Linked DNA regions of Neodiprion lecontei. The protein of the gene in region 2 binds, or shares a complex with, the protein of the main gene of each other region. Links are inferred from orthologs where the notes say so. Each region holds a gene or a part of one and is shown on either strand. Other genes may lie near its edges.

Region 1 (7,935 bases), on a different chromosome or scaffold from region 2:
AAATAAATTTCGAGTATCTAATCGGATACATCTCTCCGTATTTTAATATTATTATAGGATTGGCATCACGCTGTTTGTCTTTTAATGAATAAAATTTTAAACATCCAAGGATTAAACTCATACTCAAGAGACAAATGACGTATCAAGTAAATGAAACAAATTACACTGCTTATGATCACTAAAAACTTAATGATTTTGTGTAAAATTGCTTATGATAGACGTTGCTAACGGGAAAATACTCTGACAAAACGGGTCGATTTTTGTTGCTTGTGACCCTTCGATATTTATACTGAAAAGACGGCAGTTTATCATAATTTACATTCATTCTGGGCTTATAACAAACATACCTTAGTGTGATGCTGCATGGTGCACTTCCATCTCTCCAGCTCTGAGTTATATTGAGCCTTCTTATGATCGTGAGCAACTTTTTCCGTGAACGTCGCATACATTGGTAAATCGAGTAGCGGGCTGGGTTTGCCGTGATGAAAATGCGTGAACCATTCTGTGAAACCTTCCTGCGCATCTAGGTATGCTTTGTAACATAAATATTCGCGAATCGACACTGATGCTTTTTTCGGTAAATTGTTTGACATTGTCAGATTGGCCATTGTCCCTTCTAGAGACGGATATTCGGTCATAATTACTTCAATCGAATCCATGGGAATCTATATAATAATAGAGTGTTTGAAAAAATTAAGGTCAACTTTCAAGTTTAGATAAAATTAGGTAACATAATTATCTACTAATAACAGAACGTTTAATCTAGCCAGCACTTTGAACGTTGACATTAATGTAGACTCAACTGTCGAAACGATGACGCTCGAATTTTTTATTCGTTTAGATGAAAAAGGTTCAGTCTACATATTTCATAATTTTTCTAAAATTTTTGATATTGAAAACCATTTAAAGTAGCATGAACACGTTTGGCATACAATAATATACTCCACCTTGTTCAACGCTTTCCTGGCAGCATCAATTTTCTCGATAGAAAGAAAATACCTAATCAAAGCATTGGCTTGCCACAAAGCTTCCTCCCGCTGACTTTGATAGAATACAACCCAGTCAAGCGCATCAATTTTTTCTTGATCAGCTTCTGTAATACTGCCTTTCAGATCCAAAGAGTTGACTTCCTGATTTTTCTGCCTTATATTTTCCACGACCAATTTGGTTATTGCCTCCACATGTAAATTAGTTGACTCTGCCGCAGCAAGGCACTGTTTGCGAAGTTCATATTCCCGTATATTTTCCAAATATTTCGCGTAAGTTGTAACTTGCTCCTCTTGCGGAAGAGTCGCTGTATAAAACGCAACTAAATTCGGGTCACCCATTTCGATTAAAACATGTACGTAAGTGGTCAATATCTTGTGCTCTATTCTCTCATTGGCAGTTTTACCAATTTGTCTCAAAAACAGAGTTAAATGGGCGACAAAACGTAGGAATTGTGACGTGCAGGTACCAGAGTCTACAAATGACTCAATTTCTTCCATTAGCTTTGGAATTTGATCAAGCATCAAATATTTTTGTATCAAATGATCAGGTTTGTGGGATTGCATTCGAATACTCGAATATTTTGAGGCTTGCAATGCATCAAATACTTCTTCAATTGTCATCTCGTTTTTCCAATAATCTTCCGGCATTGGCGTGTAGTTCTTTAAAACTCCAGCTCTCAACTCTTTTTCTACTTTGATATCTAGCAATGTTTTGATGTGTGCCCATAATGCGTCTTGCCAAGACTTTGATACACATAACAGCTGATTAAGATTCCCACACAAGCTAGCGTATATGGCACGATAATATTCGCCTGAAATAATTTGGCAAAAAAAAGGTACACTACAAAATTTTTCGAGTACTTAATGTAAAATTTCAATTTGAGTAACACAACTTCAAGTTGAAAACAAAAGTTTCACAATCTAACTGTTTACTTACCTACTCGATTATCCTGCGATAACTCCCATGCACATAATTTCCACACACTCCTGTTAGGATTACCTTCAATTGGAAGTTTTGTGTTATTGAGGGGATTAGTGTAGTTTGGATCATGATGCGGTGTCCATCCTAATAGGCAGGCAGCTCGCCATGGTTGACCACAATGAACAGATAGAGACTGTGCCTTTTGCAACCGTCCACATCTTACCTATATAAACATTTTTTTCCGTTTTGACGTGCAAAGACAGACAAGATTAAGAACAAAATTGCTGAATACGAAAAAGTAATATCCTACCATGGTATTTGTTGATAGATACAATACATATTACACGCTAAGAATTATAAATAGTGCTTAAATGATTTTGTTTGATGATATTTGCAACAAATAATATGATCGTGATATACCAGAAATAATTTAAAGTTGAGAAGTGATCGAATATCATTCAAGATAAATGTTATTTGAAAGAAAAGGAATATGAAAAACCTACACGGATTCTTTAGACATTGGCACAAAGTTATCTAAAATTTTCAAATTCATAAATTTGATCACAAAAATTGGTGAAAAAAAAAAAAAATATTCTTTAAACAAAATCGAATGAGTGGTGATGATTCCTCCATAGGAGAATAATACATACCTCTAAATACATTCTTTTTTCTAATCTAACATCGTCTTCTTTGTCCAAGTCGTGTAAGGGCCTGCCTTCTCGGATCGGTGCATCAGGGTCTAAGGATGTTACTATGGGCCGAGATGATTTGAAGGTGATTCCCGTATTTAGATTTTGTAGTTGATGAAGAGTATTTTCCCATGCTACAGTTTTATCGGTAAAATGCTCCATCATTGGTAAACTATCAGCTTGATCAGATGCGTTTTTTTCCAACCAATCGACAATTAGCTGGTACTCAGTAATCGAGGGTTCATTTCTGTACAAGTTTTCAATCACATCCTTTTCTGAAATATTAGTTTTCAGTTCCATGTCTACTTTTGACTGAAAGTTTGAGGAGTTTACACGGTGTTGGTACAGACAGTACACTAAACGCCAAGTATTTCTTTCATTTTCAAGGTTGATCTCTTCCTCCGATACTTCAGTGTTTTCGACCTTTGACTGCATACCTGTTCAATATGAGAATCCTTAATAAAATTACACATTATGTCGCTAGAATTTTGAGGTAGAATCAATAAATATAATAAGTACAGGTGAAGGCTAATCTTTCAGTATCAAAGTACTTTTTAATACACTCTCAGTGCAAAAAATATCAATCACATCGCTTTTCATAGGTACTAAGGAGAAACCGAATTGGCTATTCTGCCTTTCATTGATATGACCCTTGAAAATTAATTGTGACATTATTCCTTTCTTTTGCTTTTAAACAGAGCACTACAGTTTTATGCAAATCTGAATGAAAAATGTATTCTGTTCAAATTCGTTACTTTATTTCAAGGTAAGACCTAGACATAATTTTTCGTACGCTTTACAATAATGGACAGAGCCACCAGAATTTTGGCAATTCTTTGTATTGAGTTTCAATAGATTGACAGTGTGTTTTCTTCATCAAGACGTATAAAAATAGTGATCAAGATGACAACAAATTTTTTAAACGTAACAGTAATGAAAAATACTCACTCTATCTTCCATTTGAATATTGTAATTTCAATCGATAAAGACAAGAAGTAATTGAATGGTATTTTTGAAACACTTGTTGATACTGAAACCATTTGTACCGTTAATGAATAAATGACTTTTCTCATAATTTTCATAGTATTTCAATCACCTGTTTTGTTTTGAAACTATTCTATTTTCATTTGAGATTTATAAAATTCCAGAATTTAAAAATATGTGTATAATGAACTGGAAATTATGATGACTATTTTAAAATAGAAATTACCATTACATATTTGTGTATGTCGGATAGTGAACGAATTAGTACCTACCCCGCATTATCTCTAATGTATCTGTGCAAGTCTGTATGAAATCTGCAATGGTTTCAAATACTTGGGGTGTAGCCCTGTGTGCCTGAACACTTTCAAGGAATTCATGGAATAGTTTAGCATTCGCTTCACGCCAGGGTTCGTTAGCTTTCAATACTAAGCCTGTGGCAGTCGAATCATCCATCAGCTCTCTTAGAGTAAGGTCAGTCTTTTCTGTCGTATTCATGATATCCCTAAGTTCATGTGGTGCCATTGTAATAGATGTATCAAAGTCCTCAGTGTCATATTTATCAAATGACTTCGAATGTAAGTATGACCTCCGCATTCGTGGGTTTTTAGCCTCGGATGGAAACGACCTAGATTCATCACTAAAATTTCTGGGAACATTTTCAATGGAATCCGAGCTTCTCTCGAGATTGAAATTCGGTTGCAATGATATTCGTTTAGGCGTTGTGCTCTTAGTTGCTAATCGCAGCAACGAAGTTCTCTGTGTTCTACCCGAGCCCAGCAACTGGATTGAATGGTCGAGGTTGTCTGCAGTTTTTTGCAACGGCTCCATCTTGATCTGATGTAATAATTACAATGATTAAATAATAATCCAAGTGGTCACAGCATTCTATTGAGTGAAAAACGATGAAAGCGAGGGCAATAACATAGCTAATAGTGAATACTTCTGAACTAGTAAAGTAACTAATGAATGTAATATGTGCCGGGAAAGTAATTTTTCTTAAAGTTTGAGATTACGGTGGATATTAGCGGAAAATGCAACGTTTGCCGATGATTTTTGATGACAGGTAGTTCAGCACTTAGAAAGAACTACTGTTTCGTCACACGAAATTCAATTTATATCGATAACCAATAAAAAGAACTCGCGATTCCGTAATAGATGCATGCATGTAATTTGACTGCTAACCGTAAGATTAATACGAGTATCAGGTTAATTCATTTTTCCCAGTGTTGCAATTTGCAAGTATGCACGGACTCAACACAATAAGAATTCAAAACTTGTTGCACCTTGTCAATATTTTCAGAATACAAATTTGGACAAGAATTTTGATAACTGAAACAACGTAGGTTAGCACAGTACGGAATTGCTGCCGGTTACTATGCAATATGTACAAATTGGCGGGCCAGTCTTCACGTGGTGTACGGATCAAAGCCTTTAGGTAATTTTGTACCAACTGTTCAAAGAAATTTCTATATTGTTAGCACGAGTCTTCAGGAAGAAATCTCTAGTTTTCGTGGCGAGCTTTATGACAAGCATAGAGAGAATAAGGCCGTGTTTGAAAATTGACTGACAGTCCTGTCAGCAATCTTTCATCTCTTTTGCGCTTGCAAGTTCACGAATGGCTCTGACTCTGTCCTAGGGAATTTTCAGTACTGTCAGTCAATTTACGAACACGGCCTAAGTGGGCAAGATGTAGGGGTTGGCATAAGTTGAGAGACTTGCCGATAAAAAGAGAAAAAACATCAAGATACAAGTATACGTCCCCGCTTGCCTTATTGCTATTGGTCTTTGTCACTCTATTCGGTGACTTGATGGGCGAAATATATAGATTCGACAGTCATGCATTTCGGTATTGTCGAAAGTACTAATAGATCCTAGAAATCTCCCGATTCAGCATAAAAAAATCGTACTCAACAAAGTTTTTTTGTAGTACGATAGGATGCTAGTTCCATCAAAACCTGATAGGGCTGAGTTCAGAAACCTTACTCGAGTGACTCGTATCGTTATGTCTTTGTTTAATCTCATGTGTTAAAGACAATATGATATCCGAGTTTACTCGGGTAAAGTTTCTGAACTCAGCCCAGGAATGCCTTTATCTAGTAACTTCTGTTCGTCCGTTATTTCGTGGGCCGCCGTTGTCATGGGAAGATATTCAAATATCCAACCAAAGTGGTGTGACGTCAAACGGCAATTCCCGAAATTTCCAGCAGCTAGTCACTAGAATTCGTTGACGAAAATATAGCTAGACGCACAATTAGTAGTTTCGGGTCGCCAGATACCGATTGAGTATTAAAATGCACTGGGCAACTCGATTCAAACCGCCCACTTCAAATAAATCGGATTTTATTTTTAATAGGTGAATAATAATGGTGTGCACTTACCTTAGAGCATTACTGTACATTCTCTAAGGCACATAATACTAAAATGTCGAACTCCGCTAAAGTATTTCTCTGCAATGCTGAGGTGTTTCTCTGCTGAGATATTACTCCGTTTCGATGGGGACGCGAGAGGCAATAGGAGTTTAAAAGCAACTAATTTAATATAATTAGAATTACATGAAATATATTTTAATGGGTTTATTGTCTCAATAGACCGTTTACAGAATACCAAAACCTGAATAATAATTATTTAAGAGTTAAGGTGGGAAAAAGCGCTGCTTGTCTGGCCAGAACTAAGTTCTAAAAATTGGAATATCGTATTAGTGATATAGAATAGTAATTAGGAATAAAATATACGTACATTCCGATCAGATGGTACAGTGGGCGTGGAGTAAAGAATTTCCAGCCACACCTAACTCCATGTGAGTGCGGGTATATGCTCTAAGATGCGGGTGGATTTTCACGCGCAGCATGCTCTGATTGGTCAGTTTACCAAAATCACTATTTGGTGACGTCTCATCACTGATATATATATATTAGTTCGTCTCATACTTGGTGATTTTGGTGAATTAACCAATCAGCACATGCTGTATCGAGAGAGACCTCTGTATCCAAGTGTTGCCGCACGTGAAATCCACCCAGTGACTTAAGGAGTGAGCATGTCAAGCGTGGGCAGGGGAAGGGGAATCAAGCATGCACGTACAAGTTTTTCCTTTAATTCCGAAAGAGAAGACAGCGAATCGTAATTACCAGAGTCAGTTTTGTTCTTATCGTAAATGGCGCTATTATTTATTCCAAGCCCTGAACCCCAGCACGAGGCCAACGCTGCAGAAGTAGGCCTGCACAGAATGAAGTTCATATTTTCCACCATTTTGCCTACAACCTAGCATACACTAGCGGCATCTATCACCCTACTTCGACATTCTTTTCGACTAGCAGACAATCCCTCCGTCTAGTAGGTCTGGAAGCTGCTATTTTATCGCACGAAAATGGCCTGCTCGGCGGTACGAGCTCCTCTTTTGCGTAATACAACGGTAAGTAAAATAATCTATCGGAATCCACAAGGCTGAAACTCCTATGTACGAAATGATTTCAAGTGTTTCTGTACGCACGGTTCACTTTGGTGTCGACATTTCGAGCTATACTGTACGTGAAACTATTATGTAAAGGATGTTATCCATACTTCAGTCTGCAGTTATAGTGCAAGTTTGAAATTTTTTGTAAATATTTTACTTTCGTCCATTACGAGACTCAAAGTAGACGTAAATCATCGCTTATTACTCTAGGTCAGACACTATGCAGCTGCTGCTGCTGCAACACAATCTGCACCTGCCCAAAACCTCGACATTCAGGTTCTAAGCAACAAAATCACCGTTGCTACGCTCGACAACGATAGCCCTGTTACTCAAGTGTCCGTCACATTCAAGTATGTAGAAGCAATTTTGGAAAGTTAATACGCAGTAACATTTTATTTATTACCTTTTTTCAATTTGTCCACTTGGGGCGACTTGTGGTAGTCCAGAGCAGTATCTTTCCAATATAAGTACAATACTATTATGAATCAACTCTTTGTTGGTTGTACAGTTTTACTTTGGCGCTATTGCCCTAAATACCTAGAGTCGCTCCAAATCACTAATTCGAATCAAGGAACTCAATAATTTGGCCAAACATGAATAGATTGTTGCCGTAATCTCAAACAGGGCTTAGACAGTCAAGAAATGCTGAGCAATTGGAGGCGATAAACAGCAGTTTGGTTGGCAACTAGGAAACAGCACAGCTATTGATACATATATTTTTTTTGGTGTACCATCCTTTACCAAACAGGAGGTGCAATAGCTAAAGTTCTGCTGCAGTGAACTTGCTAGCTTGAGTTCGAAACCCCAGTCAGTCAAACTGTTTTGTTTTTCATTTCTTAGAACCAGTTCAACTTTTATCATACTCTTACGACGAATTTGATAAATTAGCATATTCTACAC
Region 2 (8,173 bases):
GTATCCTTCTCGGAAAATTGATTTTTTATGCTAAAATTTCATCATTCATTCTAAGGCATCTGCAATGTAAGTGTATAGCATATAAGAACATATATTATGGAATTCGAATATCAGGTGAAAAGAGAACATAAAGCTGTTAAATATTTATGGAAGCGCACCATCGACTCATTTAATTGAAATACTTGCATATATAAGTTGATAATGGGTTAAAAAAATCTTATCATGAATTATTAAGACACGAATAAAAATCTATTCAAAAATAGTTATAACTCGAATATTTGAAATACTGGAATAATTATAAGATAATTTTTTCCACCTATCATATCAGTAACTGTAAGTATGGATGGTTCTTTGAATCCTCGAAAGTCACAAGGTGATTCTTTTCGAGTACAATCATTTATGATACCCACCACTTCTCTTGAGTACTGCTACAAAGTGAGTTGGTGATGTCAGCTGGTAGAGTTGGCAGCCTGTCGGGACTCCAGAACCCACTCCGTTGTTGATCCTCCACAATGACAGAGGCGCACAAAACTGTCACACAATCATACACGTACATACACATACATCCATGCGTTCGCACAAAGAGAATATATAATTAAAAAATCAAATGTGTTTAATATTTTGAACGTGTGCATCTGATTACTTGTCAACGAAAAAGAATATCAAATCCAAATATATCAAGAGCCACCAGCAAATCGCGATTAAACCTTCTAAAAAATAATCTTATACATACTTTTATATAGCAGAATTGTTTTATTTACTATTGATCAAGAAATGCACTGTAGATTCGGTGGCCGACTGAAATAAAACACTACTCTAATCTCAAAATATAGTAGAACAAATAAAAAGCGATTCACACCCAGTTCAAATCAATACCGATTTGTATTTGTCTATATTCATTTCGACTGACCTATCGCTAACTTGAAAACTTTCTGTAGTGTCAATAGTAAGGTAGAAACAAGTGTGAGGAATCTATATATACATGGCACACATTCTACAGCAGTTCGTCACATTTTCATCCCATCTCCTCAGAATTCTTACTGACTAAAATACTAACCTGCAGCATTCAAAAATGCATCGATATCTAGCCGACTCAAACTGTCTGCTCCTCCATGGCTCAGATTGTAGACAGAAAACTGCAATTCGGGGAATATGTGGCAATATTGATGAGGTTGAGGGCCAATAAAGTTGTTGTGATTATTATGATGTGGCCGATGTTTGATGCCCAACCAAACTTGATGGTGTAATGAGCTTGGCCAAACCTCTTCTGAGACTGGAACAGAATTACAAATGTATTTAATAATTCATGCCAATGGACTTCTTGGCGTAAGGTCTCATGATTTGGCTTGCATAATATTAACAGACAACTGTCAGTGGCTAGGAATTTCAAATTTCATCTGTGAATAAACATTGCTCGGCAGTAAAGGCATAGCTTAGTATAACAAACCTTCGTCATGATGTTTCAGCTCATTATATGTGCAAAGCCTAAGTGAAGGATTTGGAGAAGAATGATTGGCAAAGTATGAGCTCTTCATCAATTGCTGTTGCACCCGACTTACAAATATTCTCTGCAGAAAAATTTTTTAATTAAACTCAATGCATTTGATACAAGTCTTGTCTCAGATTGTCAGAAATATTCTGTAATTAATAAATACACATCTATCAGGTGAAAAAACTATCTTTTACCTGATAAACTCGTTCCCTCCAAGCACCAGTACAAAATTTGTCAATTTTGTCTAAGAATCTTTTTGTATCATTTCTTGCATAGTCTTGAAGTACATGTCCTAGAAAATATTTTGTTTGCTAGAAGTAACTATACCATTACAAAAGCAAGTAGACAAAAAGTATTACACTCGTATCCTATCTATGTACCAAATTACTGAGGCGATTTGATGAGGATTATAACTTACCAGCTTGACTGCATCTGTAAGATCCTTCTCGATACCATAGGTTAACTTGAGCTCTGCGCAGATCCTTCAGTTTTGTTGCCCAAAGCGCAGTAGGGTCAGGTGGATTGGTATGTAGCGCACATAATAGAAGTGGAGAGCACAACCGACCTGCTTCACTCCAACTCTGATGCTCACGCTTAGTTTTTCGGAGCATGAGACATGCTAAATGCAAGTGTAATTGGCCCCACATGTGCGCAAACATATGTTCAGCAAAAGTGGGATCGTTTGAAAGTTTCTTATGATGCTCTGCTTCTGTCAGGTTTTGGTCGAAACTAAAATTATACACAAAAGTATCTTATAGATGTGTGTAAACTGAAAATGGATAACTTCTGAATACTTGAATGCATTGAACTGCTGATAAAACCTAAAAATTTCAGACGCACTTGAAGTTCTCGATTTTGTGTACTTTATAACTAATATTAAGATACTAAAGAGTTTAATTACATAGTAAGGTCTTTTAATTACTATTTGCTAATTCTTTAGTTACCACTTTCTCACTTTACTCACTTCAATATTGCCTGTGCAACTTCGGGGATAGATTTTTTTGGTCCATCACCCTGCTCTTTAAGAGACAGAGCGGCAAATCTTTCAAGAGCTGAAATGTATAGCATCCAGAAAGTCCAATCAGAAGACTTGCTGTCTTTGCACTTTCCAAACAATTCACAAATTGTTTGATACCATGAGATATTATCCCTAAAGGTAAAGGTTGATTCCACACCCATGGCATGTTTGTATCCATCCTCGAGTCTATTTTTCACCATGTAATGGTGCAATAATTTGACACGCAATGTTACATCTTTTGGTCTGGCTGACAATTCAGCTGGAAAAATAATTCACAATGTTGAGAATTGCGAAAAACAGGCTTTTAAGCAGTGAACTGGAATTGTTATTGTGAATCATAATAACTTTCCATTGCAGACATTTCAATTAAAACTATACTAGTGACTTGATTCATTGTAAAAAAATGATTCAATGCAAAAACCTTAATTTCAAATACTTGTAATAGCACATACAACTAGTTTGTGTGAAAATTTATAGGACAGACTTAGTAAGAAGTACGCAATTTTCGAAATTTTAAGACATTCCTACAGCAAAGAAAAATGAATTAAATGGAATCTTAGTAGTAGGATTCACATAATTACAATTTATACAATAAACTTACATGCTATAAGTGCTTCAAGATCTTCGGCATTATCATTTGGTCTATCTACAGTTAGTAGTTTTTCTTTCAGCTGAAATACGACAGGATGATGCGGGAACTGTTTGTCTGCTCTTTCCAACCAATATCTGGCTCTGCTGACATCCATCCCTACGTCTGTGTCTGCCAGAATCTCACAAACTGTTTCATAAAACGAACATGTACATTAAGCTAAATACAAATGATGTCAGAAATATTATTTATAGCAATAAACCTATAGTTAAATTAATTTCGAGCAGAAAAATTTCTAGTCCTAAAACTACAGCTATTCTTTTTTGGTGAGTGAAACAGATTAACCCACCTTTCAAGACTAGATCGTCTTGTTTGCCATCAATTTCAAGGGAGCACTTGTATTTTGCTAACGCAGCTTCTTTCTGACCAAGAGCCTCGAGGGTTTGACCTAGTAGTTTATGTGCGTTAGCTGAATCTTCTCGCACTTCTAGGTAACATGACACGTATCTCCTTGCGGATTCGTAATCACCAACTTGGTAATAAAGTTTAGCAATATTGTAACATCTCAGGTTCCTCTGTAATTTATATTAAATTTTTACCTTGGAGATAATGAACTCTAAAACCTAAACTCGTAAGAGTTGGGTGAAGGAAACCTAGGGGTGGTCAGCAAGTTTTTATAATGATGCTCTAACTTTTATTTTAAATAAAGTAAAAAATACGACTTTAAAGATATGTTTGAGTTAAATAAAAACGACGATAAATTATCTGGAATTATAAGCTTAAAAAGTGTAAAAGAATTTTCCTGATCAAAAATTGTATCCTAACCACCTTAGCAGCCATTTCAAACAACTTAATTCCTAGGTTTAAAGACTGTGTTGTGGTTTTAGATAGCCATAAGTATGATAATTCATTTTAATAAAGCTCTTCATTTTTAAATTTTATATACAAGTTAACACTACTAATACCTCAAGTTGAGTAAAAGGTTAAGAAGGCCAGCAGAAAATATGATGTCTTTACAACCCTCTAGGAAAAAACCTTCCACTTGAGTGTAAATTTGCACCGTTAACTTTTTTCTTATGGCAATTTAATATTATTTATTAGTTACGGGTATGAATTTACACCCAAACTGTTTTTTTTTTTAATTTTATCCAAGGGAAATATAGACCAAGGTTTTTTTGTCGTTGACAGCCCCAACCGAAATCATTCGTCTTCTACGCGGACTCGTCTCATATGCGGGTAAGCAAGGCAAACACCCTGAAATACTGTCTCGGAATTGGGGGTCGTCTTATATGCGGGGTGGGCTTAGACTCCGAACGATAAGGTAATTTAAGATACATGTATTATATATATTTGAAGGTAGAAGCTTTTTGAAGAGTACATTGGCAATTGTCTCTTATTGGATAAAAAAGTCAATGATGAACAAAGAGATAATGAAGTAATAACAATCCAGCGTGCGATGGATTGTCCAAGAATAATCAGGAAACCGCAAAACATTGGTTAGCCCGGTTCTGGAATGGCATGAGAGATGCAAATCATATTATGTGTGGATAACAGGTTATGTGTAGATAAGTGTGAGTGCGTGTTATATCTACAGAGCTTCCGAGCCAGTACTTAAGGCCTTGGAATGAATAATAATATATAAATATGCGACATTGTGCAAGTCGATGACTAAAAATAAATTGAAAATAGCTAGATCATAAGCTGGCATGAGAAGATGATGTGGTTCGGTAGAATTGATACAGGAATTAGATCGAAATGCAGGGATCACTTCTGGCGGGACGATCGACATTTGCATGTGCATGTACGGTGACTCGGTGGTACTCATCATACACCGCGTAACGTTTTCATACGAGAATAACCTCCTACCTCATTTTCCGTCTTCAGCTTTCGTAAAATATCTTGCACGTGGCGATCAACGCTCTTCTTATCGTGGAACATGATTCCACAATATTTCGAATTCCTTTTGCTGTTCTTGCCGCACAGTTAAAGGATGAAAAATATCGTTAAGACGAACCACCGCCGCCTCACCGTGGACATCACTATTCAAACGAACTTCTTTACGACAGTTGTACCAACCAACTCTAAAATCAAGCTTACAGCCGAGTCCGTGCTTACAGCACAGGAAACACAGTAACCAGGTTTCCGTCGGCTATAGCATAGACAACGGCGTAGAGTAGGTCAAGCGAGAAACAGGCATAAAAAACATATTCAAAACCATCCTTATATAGATCACAAATAATGATAAGATGTACAATCAATTTAGAATTACATTTTGCACTAATTTTTTTGGTTGTTTCGATTATTAAAAATAAGTATTAAATATTGATTTCATTCTGGTTTTAAAGTCACGCAAGACGTGGCAACGCCGCACTACCGTCGTTTGTTTACGTCGCTGTGTGGTCGTCCAGAGATTATTGGGTCCTCTGCTTCAAAGGTTGCAGTTTAGCTGCTCGACCACGCTCGAATTTACTCGAACGCCTTGTTCACTATGCTCGAACGGTGGCTATCACTGATCTCTATAGTGTCATATAGAGATCAGTGGTGGTTATCCTGCTCAAATTTGTGCGCAATTCCCGCATACTTTGTCGAGTGCTCAGTGACCGATTCCTGCCGGTTCCGGATAAAAAAAATCCCTCAAATTGCCTTACGACACATGCACACGCGATTCTTTGTACGACTGCGTAAAGCGTGGTGTGGCGAAGGTATCCAGTCGGCATAAAGTCACGTAATGTGCATTCAATTTCTTATTCGATAATTTTTTTATTTTTTTTTTGCACAACTTACTAACCCCAAATTTTCACGCATGATGGAAGTATTTTTAACGTGTTGGTCTGAACATAAGCCTAAACTGAAGGCCAAAAGTGTTCAACTGGCATTTGCAAATCTATTTTTCATTTGAGAGATCATTTAAACCTTGAAATTTTTCATACGTAGTGTATTTATTATGACTGAAGTCGTCTGACATATTACAATGAAGATAATTTCTAATCGTGACCCTCGTGATATACGTTCCGTACCGTCACTTAGGTTTCTAGATCTACTACATGTACGACAATAAATGTAATAAAAGTAAATGAAGCAAAATCTATTGTGTTATTAGATTTAGATCTATAGTTTTTAATTTATTATTGTGCTCCGCCAGACCCAGGCATAGAGCATTCATACCTAGGAGGCAACCGTTTCTGGTTAGTAACGGCAGCTTATTCTACAAACTGAATCGAGTGTCGATTTTATAAATGTTCTGATCAAACGGATCATTCTATATTTGAAACGAATGTATTTTTATGTTCTGTGTTTTCTGCAATAAACTTGACCAACGATTATTTAATCGGTTAAAATTTCAGTTGCACAAAATTGACCCAATCTTTCGTTTGTGACAGTTTCCAGTTGAGGCTAGGACGGTTAGAGAAACTTGTGGTTATAACCAAAGCAAAGAATTGTTAAAACAGCGCTTTAAAATTAAAAATACGAAGCCTTAACTTGTAGTGTGGTAACGGAAATTTTTGAGAAACTTGTACATTCATATAGGTAGAATGGAAGGGAACGAAAATAATACCTTAGACGTTTTATATCGCAGTAATAATTTCTTAGTAGTAAATAAGCCATATGATTTGGTTATAAACAGCAATAACCGGAATTATAAAGTAATTCATTTAATTATTAAATATAATGGATAACATTCAGATAATAAATATAACGTGGTTACGGTCTATTCACAGATTTGTACAATTTTTAGTCCACCTTACAAACGGAAATACAAATGATGTTCCCTGAACTGGTCAATCCAGAGCTACGGCACGAATTTCATTTCGTTCATCGACTTGATTATGCTACAAGCGGAGTTATTTGCTTGGCTCTCAATAAGCAGGCTGCCAAAGCAGCCACCACTGCCTTTGAAAGTAGAAAAGCAAAGAAATACTATTTAGCTCTAGTCCATGGACATATAAACAAAAGTCATGTTATCATTTCGGAAACAATTGGTTAGCTTCCTCAATAATTACCTGCAAACTGTTTGAAACTGCTGTTAAACAAAATAAAAAAAAAAAAAATGCAAACACGTAGAATCCTACATATTAAAAACGTGCTTACTTTTGAACTTACAAACTATCTCCATGAAATTTTATTTAAAAAACGACTAGCTATATTAATTTGACCTAAAATCAGCACCAATTTGTTTTTTAAATAGTAAGCAGCAATTAAAAAGTATAGAATAAAGATTGCATCTTTTTCTGCAAGTATATCAAACTTACTATAAATTTAAAATATATGTAATCTATTTAACTAATGAACTATAGGTAAAAAATGCACCAAATAATTAAGTTATACATCTACAGGAGAAGATATTCGCGAAAAGAATGGAAATCATAGAATGTGTACAGGAGGTAGTGCCTTCTGTGAAAGACCTCGGGATTCGCGCACAGTGTTACTAGTACTTGAGACAGGGACTAGGAACGGCAAACCAGCAACTAAAGTATTGCTCTGCCCTAAGACTGGTCGCCGCCATCAGTTGCGAGTTCACTGTTCGCATATTGGTCACACGATTATAGGGGATTATACATACAGTGAAAGACAAGACACAGAACCGCATAGAACATTTCTCCATTCGTTTAGGTGACGTATTTACATTTTATTTTTACAAAAGTAATGAAATGTCCTTGCATTCCAAAAAAATAAAAAAATAATATTACATTTTTTTTGTACTTATGAATGCCTATTTTTAACTATCCCAGACTTATACTACAAAACGAGGTTGAAAATCTGGATGTCAGTACAGCAGATCCATTCTCAAGTTCAGAGGCAATGAATAGGTGGATTCCAATAAATTCATTACAAGTTTTAGATAGTAGCGTTTTTGCAACTATTGACGAGCTCACATCAGACATGTCCTAACGTATGAAACTCAACGTTGGACTTCAAACAGCATATCAATACAATTTATGTTTGTTACATAGAAATGTACGAATTTTATTATTTCAATCCAGAACTTCTGTAATTGAGCAGCATATTGACGAACAAGTAATGAACTGAATACTTTTCGTGTTTGTTGAAGGTGAAATAGAATAAATAATATAAT

The links.
Region 1: E3 SUMO-protein ligase RanBP2 (region 2) and nuclear pore complex protein Nup107 share a complex: the UniProt entries of both Drosophila melanogaster proteins name them as parts of the nuclear pore complex. The link is inferred for Neodiprion lecontei from reciprocal best matches to the Drosophila melanogaster genes Nup358 and Nup107.

What each region holds. Positions count from the first base shown.
Region 1 is NC_060260.1:13,189,941-13,197,875, reverse strand, and holds the start of nuclear pore complex protein Nup107, read right to left. Parts: upstream 5,032-7,935; 5' UTR 4,868-5,031; exon of another isoform or gene 4,767-4,867; intron 4,419-4,766; 5' UTR 4,413-4,418; coding exon 3,857-4,412; intron 3,038-3,856; coding exon 2,562-3,037; intron 2,135-2,561; coding exon 1,927-2,134; intron 1,802-1,926; coding exon 948-1,801; intron 666-947; coding exon 348-665; intron 1-347. Other genes in the region: cytochrome b-c1 complex subunit 2, mitochondrial, read left to right, coding at 6,949-6,993, 7,246-7,385. UniProt on the Drosophila melanogaster protein: Plays a role in nuclear pore complex (NPC) assembly and maintenance. Required for nuclear import of Mad. Mediates the association between the nuclear pore complex and a subset of active chromatin regions adjacent to lamin-associated domains.
Region 2 is NC_060263.1:26,800,322-26,808,494, reverse strand, and holds the start of E3 SUMO-protein ligase RanBP2, read right to left. Parts: upstream 5,182-8,173; 5' UTR 5,038-5,181; coding exon 4,966-5,037; intron 3,675-4,965; coding exon 3,449-3,674; intron 3,289-3,448; coding exon 3,112-3,288; intron 2,770-3,111; coding exon 2,457-2,769; intron 2,222-2,456; coding exon 1,911-2,221; intron 1,785-1,910; coding exon 1,687-1,784; intron 1,569-1,686; coding exon 1,448-1,568; intron 1,274-1,447; coding exon 1,058-1,273; intron 532-1,057; coding exon 411-531; intron 1-410. Other genes in the region: RNA pseudouridylate synthase domain-containing protein 1, read left to right, coding at 6,633-6,743, 6,836-7,079, 7,434-7,710, 7,830-7,989. UniProt on the Drosophila melanogaster protein: E3 SUMO-protein ligase. Component of the nuclear pore complex (NPC), a complex required for trafficking across the nuclear envelope.